Mytilus edulis: one gene and its partner. The protein of the gene in region 2 purifies or fractionates together with the protein of the main gene of each other region. This does not show direct contact. Links are inferred from orthologs where the notes say so. Each region holds a gene or a part of one and is shown on either strand. Other genes may lie near its edges. The genes, in order: endophilin-A3-like and synaptojanin-1-like.

What was found.
Region 1: the proteins of synaptojanin-1-like (region 2) and endophilin-A3-like purify together in Drosophila melanogaster (affinity purification with western blotting; 3 studies listed by BioGRID). This does not show direct contact. The link is inferred for Mytilus edulis from reciprocal best matches to the Drosophila melanogaster genes Synj and EndoA.

The regions. Positions count from the first base shown.
Region 1 is NC_092347.1:85,318,432-85,330,165, reverse strand, and holds the start of endophilin-A3-like, read right to left. Parts: upstream 5,643-11,734; 5' UTR 5,535-5,642; coding exon 5,490-5,534; intron 3,986-5,489; coding exon 3,917-3,985; intron 2,982-3,916; coding exon 2,909-2,981; intron 1,169-2,908; coding exon 1,025-1,168; intron 1-1,024. Other genes in the region: chromatin assembly factor 1 subunit A-like, read left to right, coding at 5,898-5,934, 8,143-8,196, 8,493-9,307, 9,567-9,758, 9,958-10,034, 10,499-10,580, 11,070-11,147, 11,726-11,734. UniProt on the Drosophila melanogaster protein: Required presynaptically at the neuromuscular junction. Implicated in synaptic vesicle endocytosis.
Region 2 is NC_092350.1:30,236,346-30,247,633, forward strand, and holds the start of synaptojanin-1-like, read right to left. Parts: upstream 5,422-11,288; 5' UTR 5,393-5,421; coding exon 5,269-5,392; intron 2,667-5,268; coding exon 2,580-2,666; intron 1,252-2,579; coding exon 984-1,251; intron 20-983; coding exon 1-19.

The DNA of each region.
Region 1 (11,734 bases), on a different chromosome or scaffold from region 2:
AATGTTTACTATGGTGACAAAAATTTTCTTCTCAATTACGAAGTGTTTTTTTCAAAAACACCATTTGCATAAGTTTTCAATTTATCTAGTACATAGTTAAGCAGAACAATTAGATATCAAGTCGACGACATGGGTATCTTTCAAGATGGATGCAGAAAATGCATTACCTCTGATTTAAAAAAAAAATTACCACGGACGGAAAACATATAAATCTATTAGTTCGGTAATTTTCGTGTCTGCCCTTCCATTATGTGACTCAAGAAAAATCCCCAAAAATGGGTAAAAATTAAGTTCACCTTTTTATGTTAGGGCGTGTTAGAGTTGAATATTTAGTCTTGATATCGTACAAAGCAAGAATATTTCATACATCGTCTCGCTTCAGATTCTATCATTTTTATATATCAAAGCTTCAGCTTGACTTTATAACATAAAAAAATCACAGTACTAAAAGATGAAATATATACGGATCAAGTGAAATACCTATCTAATGAATCACAAAAACAGAGTAGCTATTTTTTTACTGAAAGTTCTTGACGACAGCTGCAGTCTTTCAAGTTGGATGATGAAAATGCATATCTTCCAAAAATTATTATTTTTTGTATGTGATAATTAGGGTTTATAGTCTTCAACCACTAAAAAATCTAATCTGTACAAAAATTAAATGTACCCTAATTTGTTTATACCATCTTCCATTAATTACCACTAAATTCACAATATCTGAACACTGGATTATGATCATTCAAGTTAAGAAAAATTTTGCCTTACACTTTGCATATAAAAATGTTGAAATTGAAAATATTTAAAACCTTAAAGTAAAGATCTACTTATTGCAATGGAAAAACAATCAAAAAACCAAAGGGTTAAAATTTCTGAATTAATACAGCAAAAATCATTGATTAAATAAAGAGTATCTGGAACAATTTTGTATCAATTTAAAAAAAAAACATTAAAAAACTAAAAACTACAATTGTTTGTCTCAGACCGAAATCACAGCCCAATCTAAAGAAGTTAAAAGAGAACTTACCAAAATTTGAATCTTCTCCTAAGTCTTTCCCATGCTTACACATGTGTTCACCCAGTGTACCCTCTGGTTGTGGGTAGGCGCCTGTTTTTGCTTGACCCCTCATTTTTGATATTGTGTTAACTGTTCGTAATTTTGCTCTGGAGGCTGAAATAATACAGAAAACAAATACTATTATAGGATAGTATAACAACAATACATAAAGTAAAAGCATGTGAAGTCTTTCTTTTTTGTGATGTTACACTTTTGTTGCAGATAAGGGTGAAGGTTTGGTACGATTGAAACGTTCAAACCTTCTACAGTTGTTTGCACCTGTCCCAAGTCAGGAATCTGATGTTCAAAATTTGTCGTTTGTTGATGTGGTTCATGAGTGTTTCTCGTTTTTTTTAAAGGATAAGACTGTTGGTTTTACTGTTTGAATGGTTTACACTAGAAATTTTTTGGGGCTCTTCATAGCTTGCTGTTTGGTGTGAGACAAGTCTCTGTGTTGAAGACTATACCTTGGTTTACTTTAATTAATTGTGACTTTGATGTAGAGTTGTCTCATTGGCACTCATACCACATCTTCTTATATCTTTCAGGAAAGGTAGCTATATTGTTCAATATCAAAGGATACAGAGACTTCCTTATCTAAAATGATTGTTAAGACCTTTTTGATTCATTATATCTATTTTCCAATTAAAACAGCAGCAGTATCTGATCATTTATGCATAACCCTACTGACTGCCAGAGGAAAAACATATCCTGGTGATCTGCTTATCCTTCCGGAGCACCTGAGATCACCCCTAGTTTTTGGTGGGGTTCGTGTTGTTTTATTCTTTAGTTTTCTATGTTGTGTCATGTGTACTATTGTTTTTCTGTTTGTCTTTTTCATTTTTAGCCATGGCGTTGTCAGTTTGTTTTAGATTTATGAGTTTGACTGTCCCTTTGGTATCTTTCGTCCCTCTTTTACATGTAATTACATTAATTTGCAACGTATTAATGTAAAATTAAATGTTTTCATATAAAATCTCCAATAATTTTACACTTGATACAGACATGATGGCCATGGGCCCATATCATATTCTGATAAAACACCAATCTGATACCTCTACAGTTTTGTATATGTTATACTTTAAATCAAAAGGAGTAGGTTCAGTAAGACCCCTTTTTGCCCCCAAAATATAGCAGTTTTACAAAATTGTTGAAATGTAAACTTTAAGTTATCTATTGGAAAGGAGAATGCTTCTGCTACATAAGTATGGGCTGTTTTTGACAATACAATGCACATATATTGGGTAATAGCATCATTAAATCATGCTAAATTACTGAAATCTTTACAATTTCAGCATTTTAGTTAAAATTTAAGAGTTTCAGTCTTAAATGAAAGTGGCGGTATTTGTATTCATTCCTAATATTGAAATGTAAGTTGTAGTTAATAATAATACACAACATATATAAAGGTTAAGGATGAACACAGATGCCGTCACTTTCATTTTTGACAAAAACCATCTGAAAAGTGACGTTTTTTGGCATATTTGTTAGATTTTTCATATTTAAGCTTGAATCGGAGCGTTTTTATGACTAAATCAGTCAAAATCTTTCACATTAATTAATTGAATCAACTGATATAGACAAATAAGTGTTTAAAAAGTGTCCAAAATCTTTTGTCAGATGACCTGAAATTTGAGGCCTAAATCGGCCCTTACTGGACTACGCCTTTATAACTTACATACCGGTATACACCTCCATCATTTATCAACCAAATCATAGTTACATTATTACCTTTATGATATGATAACATTCATTTCCAATTTTGTTCAATCAAAAATTCCCATGCAGTAACCTGATGACAATGCTTTAGACATTGTTTGATATATTAAAATATTCAATATGAATTCACTTTACCTGGGTTAGGCTGCAAAAATTCTTCTGTTTTTCCTATCAAGTCATCCACACATTTTCCCATGACATCAGTTTTCTTAAGAAAATAAAATATTCATCAAAAGCTATTTTTTTACTTTTTTGTTGTAAAAAGTTTTTTTTAATGCAAAATATGTGTTTAAGACTGCTGTCAGATGATGATGTATAGCTGTTTACTCCAAGATACAATCTTAATGCATATTTAGGGTAAGAACATGAGAATGATATGATATGAATGATATTGCTTTGTTCTTGAAGGACACACACAGTTTGGTTTTATAACACTCTAGTTCACAAGGTAAGGCAGGAAGACGTGTCACCTCTACCAAGACACATTTATCTGTCTTTAAGCTGACCTGTCTTTTTAATTAAGTGTGATAACAGCGAAGCAGCAAATTTTAAAGTATTCAGTTTGAAGTGACCAACCGGAAAGGATCTTACCCAAGACATCCCATACTACTGACAAACATGCTACCACGTTGCGTTTAAGGACAGTCATTACAATCTTTGATGAACAAGTGAGTTTGTACCTATCATACCTGCCAACTGTCACTATTTGCGGGGGATTTCCCCCATGAAGGCTCCCAAATTGAAATTTTGAAAGAGCAATTTTGTCCACAATTTTAAACAGTTAATTTTACAATGACTCTAGTCTTGTAAAAGCATGACGAAGCCAAAAAACAACATTAAAATGTATTTGAAAGCCCCCTTGAAGGTATTTTAGGACTATGGCAGCCATCTTGCACGCAAAACCACCATGTGCATTTTGAAAAAGTTGGTAGGTATGTACCTATACAAACTGCAGTGCTTATTATAATTTATTATATAATTTGAGTTTAAAAACAATAAATATGCATGCACCAAATAGATCTAAAAATGTAAACATACTGTGATACAGCGATGATTTTCTATGTAAAATGATTGTTGATACTTTTATTTAGGTGTTAAATCCTGTAGTAACCACAATTGCACATAAATTTACAAATTACTCACTCTTTCCATTTCAATAAAGTCATCATCTAGCTCTGTACCTTTAGCACCACCTATCTTTTCACTCATATACTGCAAAGAAAGCATAAAAAGCTCCAATATAACAATATAAATGACTGAAAAAAGATATTAAGGATAACCTGTACCAGGTCTATGACACAGCCAAATATAGTATGTTTGAAAACAAATATTAAAATAAGAATTTTGTTATGAATCATGTTGGATTATTTCCAATCATACCCTGTAATGTGGTACTTGAAAAAAGTATGTACTGTTTTTTAGAAAATATATTTTAATGCTTGATAGCCCAAGATATTCTTTAGTAAAAGAAATGCTTTATTAGTCATCGGCTGCTTAGCCTTGTTTTGTCCTAAAGTAAAGACATGATGCATTAACTTTTGAAGCTGTTCTTCTTCATCTATACTGTGCCGGGCTCCTCTTGAGCATTATCTCAAAATCAACACTATTCTGGCAGACACTTAAGCAATCACTTATCAGTACATATATACATATTCAATGTAATGACACTTTATAGATATAGGAAGATGTGGTGTGAGTGCCAATGAGACAACTCTCCATACAAATAACAATTTAAAAAGTAAACCATTATAGGTTAAAGTACGGCCTTCAACACGGAGCCTTGGCTCACACCGAACAACAAGCTATAAAGGGCCCCAAAATTACTAGTGTAAAACCATTCAAACGGGAAAACCAACAGTCTAATCTATATAAACAAAACGAGAAACGAGAAACACGTATATATTACATAAACAAACGACAACTACTGTACATCAGATTCCTGACTTAGGACAGGTGCAAAGCCATTTAATATGACTTTCATGTTTATTTCAAACTCATATAATAGGAAGAAACGCAATATCAATTTCATTTTTAATAATTCCTTGATATGAAAAAATATTACCTGATGATAGCGTTTCTTTGTTTACATTGCATATGATGTCATAACTTAAGTAACATCACAACTAAAATCCCTAACAATAGAACCAAAATCAAAACGTTACGGTATTTCTGTTTCTTTTCTTTTGACAAATATTTATGTTTCAAAAAAATAATTCATACAGACCTCGTCCCCATTTACAGGTAATGCCTGCCTCATATTATCATGATTATATAAAACAAAATTTGAAACTTTATTACACAGCAAATAATCAGCTGTAATTAATTGACTTTTCTATTAATTTATTGTTTAGATGATATGTAAATACAAAATGTGCTTGTCACTAAATTTTTCTTCATGTCAACACATAAAAACATAATCCAAAAAGATTTTATCTTTCAAAAATCTCAAAAAGCATTTAACTTTTAAACTGATTTTACAGTAGTTTTATTTGTTGACGTTACAACTTTTCCACCTGCACAGATTTTCTATACTCAGAGTATTACAAGCCATTTTTGTCCATTTGTTATAATGAACCTGAATGACTGATGTATTTCGAAATATATACTATCTTAAATTATAAGTATAATCGTTTTGGTGGAAAATATTCTTTAAATATTGACATTTGTTATCCTGTAAGTCGTCGGTAAGACTTTGTTTATAAACTTCTAGATATACCTGATTTGCTTTGTTGAACTGTTTTTTTAATCCTGCGAACGACATCTTTGGTAATGTTTTGTTTCACTTAAAAATAACAAATCTAAAATTAGTTATGTTTACTCCCATCCGGAAGTCTTGACGTTAGATGCTTGAACTTCGCAGTGAATATCCACATAACTAATTTTACATTAATTTTTCCTTGTCTTTAACAATATTTTATAAAGTTTGAAGTCAGCTCATGTTGTTTGATAATGAACTGTGAAATAAAATTTATTAATTTGCAATTTCATTGAAAAATATTCTATGCGGACTGAAGCGGGTACACATTCCCGCCAAGTTTGATTGTCATTTAGCCGTTCTAAAAAAAGATTAAGAAAACCACTCTACATTTGAGGAAATTCTTTCATTTATCATAATCAAAAGACAATGGCACAAGTTGAGTGTGTGCAAAATGTTAGCAATGGTAAGTTACCAATATTCTTACGGTGAAAAAGAACATTTAAAAAAATAAAGTTTGTTTACCATTAAAAAAAACTGATGTGATACGTACTGTAAATAAAAATATATTACAGCATATCCTCCCTACTTCTCAAATAAATTTGTATGCAGAATGGTTTTGCCCTTAGCACAATATTCTTAAATTATCGCTATTTTTACGAATTTTTTCTTTGATCTTGCCGACTGATAATTTCATTTCTCTAATTATTTGGCTATTTTCACATTTCCTGACTGGTGTGGGAAAAACATTTCTCCTCACTAGGGAAAAATCTGTTCTCGGCAAATGATTGGTTGAATTTTAATTGTGACGTTAAATTTTCTTGGTTTCTTCTGAACTTTCCTATTGTGACGTCACTTTCTTCAAACAGGGCCGTAACTACCTATGAGGCATGGGAGGCAGTGCCTCCCCTGAATTTTCTGCACCGTTTTTTTTTTCAAAGTAATAAAATGAAATATTGACAATATGTACAAGAAGAACTTGAATTTATATCATAAACACAAGCTTACAGTTTTAAGAGTGTTATGATACATGATATATCTGTCATTGTCTGGATTTTTTATCTATAGTGAACCGTTTCAGTATTTTTTAATTTTTTTTTCGTCTGGCTGTCCGTCAGTTATTCAGTATTCGTATGAGAACACATGAAACTTTGCTTTCGACAATTTTGAATAAAACCTAACTATTCACACTTATTTAGTGGCTCAATTAAGCAGAGGAAGTTCCCTTTGTATTGTGATTCTTTTATGATATCGGAAATTCGTTGCCTGCTGAATCAGCTGTTGAATCATTTTTTTAACATCTCCCGATCATACTAGAACATTATGGTCAATGCCTTTGTTACAAATGTACTTAGTTAAACATTCCCATTCGTTGTAGCAGGGACTTTCTATACTAAGTATATACTAGTATAGAAAGTCCCTGGTTGTAGTTTATATATGTCTGTTCAGCTTACAACAAAATTGAAATTCAAGGTCCTCGATAAAAAAAAAAAATCTTGCGATCTATGATCTTGCTTTATATGTTTTTTTAACTTACCAATTTGATTTCTTACAAAATATCTTTAAATACAGATAATAATTGTTTGCATAAAAATTGCTTCCATGATCCAGCAATACTGATGATTCTTAAAGTAAGGAAATCGAAGGAAAACGGGTAATTTTTACATCCACTGATTTTATAAAGAAAAAAATCCGCAGTCACATTGTATTTAATGTCAATAATTATAGGTCAAAGTACAGCCTTCAAGACAGAGCCTTGGCTCAACCCGAACAGCAATCTCACAAAATTGAGAATGGAAATGGGGAATATGTCAAAAACAGGTCTTCAATCCAACGAGAAATTCCTGCACCTGGGCGTCCTTCAGCTGGCCCCTTAACAAATATATACTAGTTCAGTGATAATGAACGCCATACTAATTTCCAAATGTACACAAGAAACTAAATTAAAATAATACAAGACTTACAAAGGCCAGAGGCTCCTGACTTGGGACAGGCGCAAAAATGCGGCGGGGTTAAACATGTTTATGAGATCTCAATCCTCCCCTATACCTCTAGCCAATGTAGAAAAGTAAAATACGCACATTTAAAATTCAGTTCAAGAGAAGTCCAAGTCTGATGTCAGAAGATGTAACCAAAGAAAATAAATAAAATGACAATAATACATAAATAACAACAGACTACTAGCAGTTAACTGACATACCAGCTCCAAACTTCAATTAAACTGATTGAAAAATTATGATTTCATCATATGAATATCAGACAAAATCCTTCCCGTTAGGGGTTTAGTGTCATACATGTACCATCAAAACATATATGAGAAGAACATAACCCGTGTCATGCCAACAACTGGTTTTTGAATAAATGTGTTTAGTTCCGATACAAAGACCCTATAAGTGAATCAATATTAACGCCAAAATATGCAATCTTTAATGACCTGACAACAGTATCGTAACTATATCCCTTCTTAAGTCTATTTAAAGGTTTTGTTAGTTTCTGAGGTGAATACTGACATTTTTATGCTTTATAAAGTATGACGTCAGAGAGTGAAATAACCACGTTTATTTCACATGTAAAATTATCGGTTTTTATTTGACTGGGAAATCAATGTAAATCATTGCAACCAATGTAATAATTTGAATATATTTTGAAATAAAAAAAATCTTTTTCTTTTCAGGTCCTTCTGCAGATGATGATGATGGATGTACACCATCGAAAAAACTTAGACAAGGTATATTTGATTATCATTCTTTTCTTCATCTACAATTAGTCTGTCTGAAAAAACTAGGACAAGGTGTGTTCAACAACGATTCTTTACTTCATCTACTGTAAGTCTTTCTGAATATATATATACCTACATATGTGCTAATCTTTCTGAATATATATACCTACTTGTGTCACTGTGCCAATCTTTTTGAGAGCTTACATGTAACATGTGTAATATTTTAATGAATGCTGACTTTACATTAAAAAAAATAATGAAGTTTTTTGTTAATAAGGTAACATTTAAATTTGTATTTTTTACAGCTAGATTACCATTTAAAACAATTGAGCATAAAGCACAGCTAGTCTCTCCAAAGTCAACTGCTGCTTCAAAGAAAAGAAAACTATCTGATGCAGAATCACCTAGTGCTAAAGCTCCCAAAACTCCCAAATCAGGAACACCATGTGGATCTGGTAATGCGCCAATTACTAGCGGTGAAGCAGAAGTTAGCTCTAGTTCTGAGGCAGATAATGTTAAGATACGGGTTCGTAATACATTGGAAAGATTTGTACGTAAAAATTCTCAGGAAGAAATTACCTCGTCAACAAACATTGAATGTATTGATATAACCGATTCAGATGATGGCAAGGAATCTGATGTATCTTTTGTTGACACAAATACCTGTCAATCAAAAAAAATAAAAGAGTTCTTCAGTGTAAAAGAATCTTCAAAAACTGTCAAATCAAAAGAAGAGAACTCGACCAATGAGACTCAGAAAGTAGAAAATTATATTCAAATCATTGAAGCAGTCAGTAAAGGTCTTATTCCTGTAGAAAATTCATCAGAAACATGTGAAAATAAGGAAAACTTGGGAAGCTCAAAAAAAGGGGAAATTTTAGATGTTTCTGCAGACAAAGAAAATATGGATGTTTCAGATGAATCAACTAGTTTATCAGATATGAACAACAGTGCTATTGACCCAGTTACTCCTGGTAAGGGCAGTGTACCTTCCGCAGTATTTAAAACTCCAGTTTCAACAAAAATAAGTCCACAGTCAGGAACCACGCCTTTATCACAAAGCCCAGGGGACAGTTTAAGTGATGGAACTCCTAAATCCGGCAAAAAACCAAGATCTAAGGTAATATGTGAACCTTTATACAGTAATACATATAAAAATAAGAAGATGTACATTTGATCATGCTGCAAATTGTCAGTATAGAAAGTTTTGATAGTTTACTAGATCTACATTTGTTACTCAAAAGAAAAGAAAAATTTCCAATGAATTTTATATATCCATCGAAATGTACACAAAACTTGTATTTATAGGAAACGTTTTCAATGATTTCTCTTGCTAAAAAATATTCAACATTTTAATTTGAAAACTTGGTTGATCCCAGCTTTCAGAGGCAAAAATGAAAGACAGGGAAGCGCAAAGACAGAAACTCAAGGAAGAAAAATTAAAGGCCTTTGAAGAAAAAAAGAAACAAAAAGAACAGGAGAGAGTTGAAAAGGAAAAGGAGAAAGAGAAACAAAGACTGGAAAGAGAAGCTGCCAAATCTGAAAAGGACAAACAAAAGAAAGAGGAAAAAGTGATTATGATTTCAAGTTAAAAGATATTAGTACATTTCTTTTTTACATGTTATTATGTTATAGAAAGTTAAGTACTCTATTTTTTTGCAGTTTAGAGATGATATAATTTTTAATTGGGCATCAATTTAGACTCGCAAACATCATTTCTGTTTTAAAATATGATTTTTATGATTAATGACATTTTTATCACTTGTTTAGGAGAAAAAAGAAAAAGAAAGATTAGAGAAGCTGCAACAAAAGGAAGATGAGTTGAAAAAGAAGCGTGAAGAGCAAGAGTAAGATATAAACTAAAACATTTAATATGAATTTACAAAAAAGTCAATTGTGACCATAATTGCCAGCCAATACAAATTAAGGGTTACTGTTCAAATTTGAATTTGGAATTAAGGGGAAACAATCATTGTTCAAGGGAAATACCTGTTAAGTTTTCCAGGTTAAATCTGCTTCTTGGATACTTTAAGCAATGGGTAAACTATATTGAGTGTATAGTATGTTTGTAGGATGAACATGTCCTAGAATTAGACCTTATTTTCATAGATGATTGATAAAGTCGAGTTTCTGTTGTACCAGTTTCAAGAACTTTATGCAAAATATTGTTTAATCAAAACAGTCAAGACATTTGAACGTGTACTCAAAAAAAAATTGCATTAAAACAAAAAGATATATTATGAAAACTTTAATTACAACGATACATATGTTAGGGTGAAAATGAACTTATATCAATTAGTCATATTTTCAGAGCAAAGAATGAAGAAAAAAAGAAGAAAGATGAAGAGAAAAGATTAAAGGAAGAAGAAAAACAAAAAGAAAACGAAGAAAAAGTAAAAATACTATAACATGAAATAATACATGAAATGCATCTATTTTAATACCAAGTTTTTTGTTTGAAAATGAGGTCGTAAAAGGATAACTGCAATAGAACTATCAAAATTGACATCACAGTGTTGTGTTTAGAATCTTCATGTTAAGAGTAAAATTTACTTGATTTTTCAAATGACCGATTTCCTAAATACAGTTGCCGGAAGTGTCCACCTAAAAATTTCCAGTTCTCAGCATAGTTTATTTTTGCCAATTTCAGATTTGCTATATATCTATTTGCAGAAGTTCACTGATTTGAATAGAACAATTAGACCAAATAATAAAAAAAACCTACATAGCTCCATAAAGACAGTTTTCATTTGTCAATTTTGAAGCTTTTATCGACCAAAACTAAAAATATACTATTCTCAAAAGAACAATAGGAAGACACCTAGATTTATATGTGTTTTTGATTTGTTTACAAGTTAGAAATGTCCTTTTCTTCATTTCAGATAAAAAAAGAGAAGAAAGTTAAAGATGCATTCCAGAGTTTCTTTATCAAGACTAGTACTTCACCAAAATCTTCTAAGGTAAACCTCTAAGGAAATTATTGTTTTATTCATATTGAAAATTAGTTTGAAAGTGTTGTTTATTTTAAATTATAAAGTATGGTTGCATTGATTTAGATACTATTTTAATGTCCAACTACTCAAAAAGTGGGTGTTATCACTTTTTTGAGGATATTATTCAAGCAACTGTAAAATAACTTTTTTTTTTATGAACTGTATATGTATTATTGTAGAACCCTCAGGTCTTTTTGCTTGTCAAACATGTTCAAGAAATAAAAAACATATTTCTAATCAATATGATTTTGTGTTTGTTTCAGGCAACTGTAGAACCATCAGGTTTTTTTGCTTGTCAAACATGTTCAAGAAATAAAAAACATATTTCTAATCAATATAATTTTGTGTTTGTTTCAGGCAACTGTAGAACCCTCAGGTTTTTTTGCTTGTCAAACATGTTCAAGAAATAAAAAACATATTTCAAATCAATATAATTTTGTGTTTGTTTCAGGCAACTGTAGAACCATCAGGTCTTTTTGCTTGTCAAACATGTTCAAGAAATAAAAAACATATTTCTAATCAATATGATTTTGTGTTTGTTTCAGGCAACTGTA
Region 2 (11,288 bases):
AACATGTAACATACGATTCCTGTAAAGAAAGAAATAAAAGTTAAATATGTTTTAGCTGCATTTAACCTCTACAAAGTACAAAGAACATTTCAATTTTAGACCTTTTTATCACATTTCTATTAGAAGAAATAAGAGTATAAACATAAAAAAAACAATTTCTCAAGTTAATCATGAAGGTGGATGACTCAATAATAAAAATCTATCACTTTTTTTCAAATGCATCAAAAGAAAATTTGAGAAAACCTATAGTTGTTAATTTCTGTGTTATTTTGGTCTCTTGTGGAAAGTTGTCTCATTGGCAATCATGCCACATCTTCTTTTTTTTATATACTTATAGGTTTCATAATGATTAAGAATCAGATATAGCTTGATATCAATTAGAGTTATTCAATTTCAATATACAAATGTAATAATAAACAAGACTTTGGCTTGTTTATTATTTCTATTTAACTTAAATAACTAGAGTTGATATCCAATTTTTACAAGTCGTTAAACCTATTTTTCTTATGGTCAACACTCTCAATGTGTAAAATTCAAAATCTGAGAAATGTTGATCTAGGCTTTTACCATTTAATACAGTATGAGGTCAAATGTCCTTTTACAGTGTCTAACTTTAATATCAGACATTTTAAGACTTTTTGTACGCTTCAGAATGTATTAAAATTTGACAAAAAGAAGATTGTCAGGTGAAATGTGTGAGTGTTTTGTATATTAAGGAATAACCAATGAAAATGTCATAATATTGTCTTGTGATGCTGGATAAAACAATCAAATAAATGCAGATTTTCATATCACTTTTTCATATCACACTCCATGCAGTGTGATACGAGAGATTTCTATTCATGCAAGAGATTGATAACAGGTCACAATCATAAGAGAAAATCATTTCCTATTATATAATTTTTGAGATGTCATCTCATAATATATCAAACCTATATCAGTTTTGACAAGATAATTTCTTTATTTAACGATGTTTAATTTACCAAAAGAATCTGTTATCGGTTTCATGTTCTTGTAATTTTCTTTGAGCACAGAGTGTAAGGTCCCATGGTATACCAGAGTTTGACCATGAAAAGTAAAATGTCCCAGAGTTCATCAGCTTTTTAATTTCCTGTATCCTCTCCTCATCACCTGGATTATTTCGTAAAGACACAAACTGAGTTGTAGTGATTTTGAAAATGTCAGATTCTCCAATTTTACCGACAGATAAACAACCAGTCACTAAAACCAAATATGATACACATTCTTGTCCTGAAAAATAAAACAAATTAATAAATCAGTATTAGTAATCAACATACTGTCGATTCTTTATTTTTTGTGAATATCAGTTTTTCATGGATTAAGAAACAAGATGCTCTCAAGAGCCTGAATCCCTCACCTGTATTTCAGAGGAGAAGATTTTTAAATATTACCAAACTTGATGAACAAATTGTGTAAAATTGTCTTTAAAGGGCAATAACTCCAAGCGGTCAATTGACAATTATGGTCTCATTAACTTTTTTGTAGATTACTTTGCTGAACATTATTGCTGTTTACAGTTTATATCTATCTATAATCATATTCAAGATAATATAAAAAAAATATGCAAAATTTCCTTAAAACGACCAATTTAATGGCAGCAACCCATCAATGGGTTGTTTGATTCATCTGAAAATTTCATGGCTGATAGATCTTGACCAATTGAACAATTTTACCAACTGTCAGATTTTCTCTTAAAGCTTCAGTTTTGGAGATATAAGCCAAAAACTGCATTTGACCCCTATGCTCTATTTTTAGCAATGATGGCCATGTTTGTCATTGGATCAAAACTCCAAAATCAATTTATAAACTAGACACCCTAAGGAACATTTAAAGTTTGAAGGTATTTGGCCCAGTAGTTTTAGAGGTAAAGTTTTTTTAAATAGTTTACGACAACAGAAAACGACGACGGATGCCAAGTGATGGCATAAGCTCACATGGGGCCAGCTAAAAATTGTGTTGTTTGGGGATTTTTGCCAAAATTTGTATACAAGCATTTAGAAAAAATGTGGCGGCAAAGTAATTTAACTTGTATTGTCTCTTACAAAAATCTAAATCTTACCAAAGCAAAATCTCACATTCAAACATGCCTCAATACATGATCTACCTTACAGAAATTGTTTTTGTATTCTTAATCTATAATAATTAATTACTATGGAGTTGGCAGCTATCACTGCATTCATAAGTTTTTGAATCCTAGTCAACAGTTTATGTTTGGATATGAGAAGTAAATTTTATACGACCTTGCAGAAATTCTATATATATCATGTATATTGATGACACATACTTTGGCGTGTCTTGTGAAGGACAACAAAAATACTAGTATCATTATCATCCATGAAGTCTTTCTAAAGTTCTGAGCTGTATATAACTTTGTATATACAATTGTATGTCGACACAGTGTAAACATAGTTGATATAAATTCTTGATTTTGACTTTGCAGATAAAATTTTAGTTCTTTAAACCATTCAACTGTTCTTGACAAGACAGAAATGGTAATTCTATTTAATGCCATCCCCAGTACTAACAGTCTTACATACATGTGTAAACCATTTATTTACCTAGATTGAAGTTTAGAACACCCAAGCATCCATATGCATCCAATATCTTCACATACTGCTTTTTAATGGCTTCTGTTTCAGCAGCAGCTATTTAATAAACAAAGTTTAATGTTAATTTCATCAGTAGTTATAAAACTAATAGAAAACATGATGGTCATCATGGCATGCAACAAAAGTTTTGCTGAAAATTCTCTCTCCATGTCCAGTTGTAATTAAAGTAAAATAACAAAAATATAGAACTCAAGAGAAAAATTCTAAACAAATGGAAAATCAAAAGCTCCAACACAACAAATTAACTGGAAATAACATGTTGCTTCTTCCAATGAAAATGGCAATGGCTAGACGTTAAATAAACAAGATCTACATGTATACACAACACATTTACTCTACTTTACACAACTTTTTATGGTGCTGTGACTGACGGAAAATTGGTTCAACAATGGAAACGAATTTAAAGGCAATACATGCTGGCAAACAGAGCAGCAGTGACGAAGCTCTGGACCAAATTCGAGGATCCAAAGGAAAATCCGGATAATGTTGAAAAGGAGGAATTCAAAGCCATAGAGGATGCTGTAACCCAGAAAAAGAAGATTCTTCATGATTTGAACGAGAAGGTAATAGAAGTCCTACACGAGGATCACATTGAACAAGAATTTACAGACTAGGATGAGTATATGTTTAATTTAGACAGTAAACTTATTTTATATTGATCTACCAAAAATAAGAAACGTGAAATTCTTAAACAGTCGTCACATATTTACAATCCGCTAGGATTTATCATTACATAGCCCTGTATCCGTACAAGCAAATATTTTGATGCAGACATTGTGGGAACAGAAGCAGGAATGTGATGAGCCACTAACATTAGAAATACAGAGTACATGAAAACATTTAGCCAAGGATTGGAGAAAGCAACTTATACAGAATTAAAAAGACCATTCTTTACCAATTTACCAAATCAGAAAAAAAACTTTGTTTTTGTAGACACTAGTACAACTGCATATGGAGCAACTGTTTACATATGTAACCATCATGAGTCATCCTAAGTTATTGCAAATAGAGTAGCACTGCATAAACAATTGACACTACCACAGCTGGAATTAATAGTCACATTGATTGGAGCATGAATAGCTGATCACGTTAAATCAGCTTTACATAGAGAAGACATAACATTTTGGTCAGACAGTCAGATAGTTCTACACTGGTTATCAACTTCAAAGCAATAGACAACTTTCAAATTTGATGCATTTCCGTCAAAAACTTTGGTTTTAGTGAACATCATTAGTGCGTTTAGGGACGTCAGAGCTGAGGTCAGAAATAATGCAGTAGCAACTACAAGAATTCTCGCTTCTTTAGTGATAGCTTTTCTTACATTGCTTAGGGTTATACGATTGCTATCATATTCACTGACCATTCTTTTTCTTGTGTGACCAAACCAAACTCTGTAAAATTTGACAGACCTATATTTCCAGTTTATATAAAACGAATGGTCCAGAAATTCAGGTCTGTCAAATTTACAGAGTTTGATGCCAAAAAATAATTTATACTATCAAAAGTGAAGCATCATGGGGAAAATAGCTATTAAAATGTTTTAAACAAGTAGTATATTATCCACATGGCTTGGATGAGGGTAGGAATCTGGGTCCGTTTGCCCTGATTTTTATTTTTTTTCTAATTGTTGTCTTGTCACATAATTTTAAGTATTTGAACAAAATATGTAAAAGTTTGTTGAAAAATTGACAGAATATTATATTTTCGTAATCAATTTATCATTTTCCCTTTGATTTGCAGAATAGAATACTGGAATAGTTCAATACAATGCATTTATCTTCATTGATATTTGTTAACAAAATAATTGTATTCAATCAATCACTAATGTATGCAGTATAACTGAGACTAGTCTCAGAGTATAATAATAAATGAAATTGTAAATTTGTTTCATAATTGACAGTTCGTACATTGTTGTTTTTATTAATTTCAAGCTGAATATTTTATCTTAACAAAACGTTTGTTTTCAATATAAATCCATCAAAAGTATTTCCATGTTTCCATAAATTTCAAGAATATATACCGTAGATATATCTGAATAAGTTTATTCAACTTCAATGCCCTGAATATTAATTTTTTTCAGAGGGCGAACAAACTCAGGGGGAACAGACCAAGGGCGAACATGTCATAAGGGCTAACGGACCCGATACCCGAGAGTAGTAATGGGGGTACCTTCATGACGTATAACACAAAAAATTCTTGCCAAATAATGTTAACAGTAATTGTGAGTGCATGACGATAAAATATACACTTTCTTTTAGAAAAAAGTGTTTTGATGTCACAAGAAGGCATAAAAGCAAAATAGAATTACAAAGCCTTTCTCCGACTATGCAAGGGCTGCATAGTCAGTCAAGGTGGTTAAAAACTTTCATCATCTACCCTTTCAAGACTGCATAACTTTTTGGACAATTAAAAAAGTATGATTGCAGGAAATCAAAGCACCCTCAGGAAGCTGGAACGTATGTGTTACCTCCTAATCAGCCGTTTCTGTGCCATAAAAAGAGGATAAATTGGCTAAAATTAGGGGAATTTTCAAAGCAGACTAGCAGGACTTGTAAAATAATGAGATTGATTTTATGAAAGTGACAACAGGATATGTTGTTTACTCATTATTACATGTCCTGTTTCAAATATCACGTACATAAAACAGCTAATGCGTTAGATTCAAACATCAAGGTATCCTCATTATTTCTGTTTTCAAGAATGATGCTATATGGGGGAGGCTCTAGCTTATGAAAAACTCGGAAATTTTTAATCATCGCCATCTTCTTATTTTGAGAAGTTGTCTCCCTTATTTCCGTCTGCTATACTTCCGGTTTGAAGATATAAGCTAAAACCCAAAACCTAGACAACACACCCCAACTCCTGTTCGCAGGCGTGCAAAATTGAGTAATTGAGATAATTGTAATGAAAAAGGACCTCTACATACAGATTAAACACACGGTTGACTTTATTCATTTATTAACTTAATAATCGAAATTGTAAAAAAAAAAACCACCTCAAATTACTTTTTGTTTGTTTTAGTTTGGCCTTTTTTTTTTACAATTACTAAAATTAACGTTGACCTTCCTTTCTAATAGACTATATGAATTTTCATCACACTATTTTTTTTTGTCTTTTGTGGTTGTTTAGTTTTTTTGGGAAAAAAGGTACTGGGTTAAATAAAGTAATTATATGATGATTTGAAATTATGAGAATCTCAGGCACGAAAATTTACTGAATTCAATACAAATCTGAAGCTTCCATTTCTAGTTTTTGGCCAAAGAATTTCACATCTTTATTATGCGTATATTGTTTAGGCAAAATCCCGGGTCTTATTAGAGCAAGTATTATAACGAAGTCTGAGGATTTGATATTCCCTGGCTGCAGGCTTGTGCAGAAAATCATCAAACGGCCGGACCAAAATCTATCGCTCGTGACATTTTAAAAATGACTGACCCAGTTAATAAAAAATAAAAATGTTAAAACATTAAAGAAAAGAGAATATCGGGGTCCCAAAATGTAAAGAATCATTGTGGAAAATAAAAGGATTGTGTAATAAACTACTGATAATCAGATTACAGAAACGAACTATGTAGGCAGAAAAAACGAAATCATACATAATTGCAGTAAGGGATAGAACAAGAGAATTTAACAGAAGAAGTCTTTTTTTCAAAGATACAGAAAACTGCCTTAAAACTTTAAAGAAAACACAGAAATCATGACCCTCCCCAAATAATAATAAATAAAATAAAATATGTATGGCGTGAAAAGCGTTACCTGTTCAGACTTAACGTCATACATAGTGACGTGTTCATGCCTGGCGACTATGAAGAGAACGTTGGATACAGGTTGAAGGAAGAATTTCACGTAACTATTTACTACTTCAATAATAAATCATGCTATTGTTTGTGATCATTTGCTATAGAGACTGGGATTGTAAAATTTTTGAGAACGAAAATTTAAGGGAATTGCTTTCCTTCTGTGTGAAAATGTATGCCCAAGGGAGCAAGCGCATAGATAATTATTTACTCTAAAGGGTTCCATACCGTATAGGCCACAATCTAATTAAAAACCGATCTCTCATCGCTCCTGTTTCTGATCTAATTAAAAACCGATCTCTCATCGCTCCTGTTTCTGATATGTACGCGACATATCAGAAACAGGAGCGATGAGAGATCGGTTTTTAATTAGATTGTATAGGCCAAATCAAAATATAAAGTTTCATTTAACGTAATCACATTCTTTAAGTAGTTGAAAAGTTAAATTAAATTTACTTAAAATTCATTGGGACTCTCAACTGTAGACATCAGAAAAATTTCACAAAGAATGTTCCGCGAGGAGAAAGTAATCAAAATTAGGGGGAGAAGATATCAAAGGACAATCGGAAACTGTATCAAAGAGTCAGGATGGGGTTTACAGAATAGAGAATAATGGGCAAAAGTACAGAACAAAGATAGAATACAAATTAAAGAGAAAATGACAAATAATAAATAATGGTGTGCTAAAATATTAACGAATTGAGAATGATAGGCCAAAAATATAAAGAATAGAGACATATGGGCAAAACAAATGAAATTAAAGAATATGAAAATGAAGGACCCCATGCACAACCTCATGATTCGAGAAAGAGAGACAGCAATATGACTTAAAGAAAATAGAAAACATGCTTGACGTTGGTTTCTTTCTACCATATTTGTTTTAAGTTTTTTGCTTTATTCATTGGCTTCTCGTATGAAATATTCAAATCAGTGTTTTCATATGTTTCTAAATGGTATCGGTTTTACTCATTGTTGAAGATTGTATCATGACCTTTAGTTTCTTACATCTACGTCATTTGGTCTCTGATGGATAAAGGTCCTATTGGAAATCATAACATATCTTCTAATTTCTATAATGTTAATTGTCAATCTTAGAATCTAAGACTTCACAGAAATGAATATTTAACACCTAACCATTCTAATAATCAAATGTTCATTCTTGTTTGCTTGTTTTTTTTAACTTGTATTCTTATTACATGGTGGGTTTTTTTTTTTTACAGAGCTGTAGGTTAAAATAACTTACGGTATCGTAATTATTTAAGGTAAGTTTTGATTTCATAGCTTGGTTACTCCATAAGATATATAAACTAAGACCGTTACATACTTGTACATCATATCCGTCTTTGCTGATATCGATTTAAAAAAAAAAGATCGATCTTTAGTCTAATGGTTATGACAAACAATGATCTTCGAAAATCGGACTTACAAAGTGTACCTTCTAATTTCGGTGTAAACGCTGAGATCGATCGCGGTCGATCATTCTGAAAATGATGTCTCATTAATTTTATGTTTATTTACCTTGCCGCTTTTTATTCATACAACATACCATCAAACAGTATAACATCTTAAGTATGAATATACAGACACAAGTGAGATGGTACAGTGATAAAAGGGAGAGGGTCTGTTAAATTTTAATACACGGCTTTTAAGGTCCTTTTTACACGGAAACAAAACAAATATTATCACAAAGGTCTTTCACCCTACCCACCAGAAAAGATTTCCAATAATCGGACTTCGAATAATTAGTCTTTTTATCATGGAGATGAATGCTTACATTTTAAAACCTTTTTTGTTTTACCTTTTTATTATATGTTTTCAAGCTACCAGCGGAAAAATGATTAGATAATTGTGTTTTTATGTAGCAAATTCCAACTTTACTTCTCATTTAGTTTGGTTGCAACTTTGGATAGCTTATGGGCAAAATAAAATAAAAGATTTGATTCTTAATGGAAATTACTTCCAGCTTGGGTTTCTTGTCTGGATGAATGCTGTAACTTAAAAGGGTTTTGCCGGGTCACGTTTTGTGTTGCTCATTTTATTTGTCTGCCATTTTCTGTAAATGTTTACAAGTAATTACAGTGATTTACCAAACAAATCTGTTAAATGAAATACATGTGGATTGAGAAAGAAGATGCTTAAATAACCATGCTTATTTATATAATGGCAAAACAATTTATTGTGATAAGTGTCTTTACCTGTATTATATGATCTCATGTCTCGAGAATATCATTCTGAATTGTATTATTTGTGCACAAACCATTTGTCTCTGCGTTTGAATCGAAGACATATAGAGGCATGCCTATATGTTTTTTTAAATTTTTAAACTAATTTTAAAACGATTCCACTTTTTGAAATTTAATTTTATATTTTCATATATTTTCTAGTAAAGAAGTATGAAACTTATGGCACGAAATCGGATACAGAAGTTGATCCTCCAACCTGAATATTCAGAATTTAAAGACACTCTGCTTGCAGAAGGGGCTTTTATTGAGTTAGACAAATGTGGAGAACCAATCAGACAAGTGTTTCTTGCTATTTCAGAAAATGTTTTCATACTTGCTTCTGAAAACGTCCCAGATTATGTACTATGCCCCTCCGTCAAGTATGACGCAGATGTTGATTTGGATACTGATGGAATGGAATTAGAATGGGTTGTTCCTAATGGATTTCTAGACATCAATACAGATAGCTCACAAAGAATTTTAACCATTGATACACGGACAGGTCGAATAGGCCACTTCTTGCTGTCTGATATCTGGGGCAGTGCGAGGAAAGATTGGGTTATTTGGAAGGAAGCGTTACAAGATATCCAGGATGATCCCTACAGTTACACCAAATGTTTATTCAAAGATTTTCTTATACCCGATAAAGTCTATGATATGTCAGCAGTAAACAGAAAACGAAGTCAATTAAATCATAAAAAGGCTAAGAGCCTGGAAACTCTTACAAATAAAGTGATGACAAAAATGTATGAAATCCAGGACGAAATGGAAAGTAAAAAAAATAAACAGAAATTGAAAAACTCTGCGTCACAATCAAATGATGCATATTTTACAAAAGAAGCCGGAAGTCAAACTTCTTTTAACAACGACAGTGACAAAATACAAAAGAAAATGAAACAGAAGGGGCAATCCTGCAGTGCAATGCTTAAGAGAATGTGTTTCGGAGGAAAAGCAAAACAACGTCCAAAATAAAGATTGACGCTATTGTAAACTTTAGTAAAAAGAAAATGTTTGAAGTATATATTAAATATTAAGTTTATCGATTAGCAATTTCAGAGTATATGTCCATCTACCAAATAGTATATATGTAATAGTCTATTGCGTCTGTAAAATTTGAAAGTTTTTTGTAAAAAAAATCCGTTTAATAGCGGGCATTATTGAATGCTTACAAACGGCATTCCAATAAAAAAAAAAAAGCGGGGCCGTAATAATGTTCCAAAGGCTTACACTATTTCAATCACAAAACGGAGTAATTATGTCACTGCTCAGTAGCGGATCCAGAAATGTTCATAAAAGGAGGGGAAGGGGGCCCGCTCCAGTCATGATTCGCTGACTCCCTATATAGCCCCATTTACTGTTCTTTGACCTACATCAAGTCGCGTTTTATGCATTGGTTATGGGTAACAATATTGACAATTACTTCTTACTAAGGATTTTTTTTATTTTTTTTTTTTTTTTATCTCAGATGAACTTGTATGAACTAAATTTAAAATGTTGGCAAGATTTTTTTATTGTGCCGCGTATTCACAAGTATAGGCACTTGAATTTTAACAGATGTAAACAAGGACATAGACAATTACTTGAAAATTGCAAGATAATGAAATCATTTTGATGCAATTTATACCTACTTCGAACATTGATATCTTGCAAGTAATGCGTCGAGACCAAATATCAAAATCCAAACAAGGAGTTTAAAGTCGTTTAGTTCCGAACTCAAAATTACCCAGAAAAGGACCACAGACCAGCTGACTAATACTTTACGCATTGTCATGGAAGAACTTAGTATTTTACGTCATTTTGTAATTTTGTGACTTTATTTTTTTCGAACAAACTTTTAGTATTTGTCAACACAAAACAGTATAGTATAACCCTATAAACCAGTATTACGAAGTCCACCAGCGATTGCATGAATAATCTATTCATATGAATTGTTGAAAAATTGCAAGACATCGGAATTTTAATTTTAAATAAAAAAATATATATTTAAACGGCATATGTTTAGGTGACAATACCATTTGTTTTTAAAAAGAAACAGCAAAAAACAAACAAGCATTAAAAACCTTCTATGCCTAAACCCGTATCACTATATACACTGATAGCACACATGTCTGTTCACCGAACTCGACATCTTACTCTGGTGAAGAATAAATTGTATAACAAATGATTGATTCTGACTAATATTTTGATATTTCACGACCAGTCTGTCATATTAGTTATTATTGTATAGCAATATAATATTTCCCACAGAACGTAACCAAAAGTTAGCGTGCAATAAATTCTAATATTGCACTAGTGCAATAAATCTTCAAATTCATGACGTCATCAATGTTTAAATCTTAGTTTAAACCGATTTTTACATTCAAATATTATATTGCTATACAATAAAAGGGTTATTGCATGAATATTGGGGAATATTGTCCCTCGTAGAACATATATTGCACTCGCAAGCTCGTGCAATATAAAATTCTACTCGGGACAATATTCCCCAATATTCATGCAATAACCCTATATTACTGCTATAAATGTTTGTGTGATAAATCTGGCTTGACTTTTACATACATAAAATGTGAAAAATGATTACCTAAATTAAGTCAACTTATCGAACACCATCATAGTAAGTGACAAAAAAATATATGCCC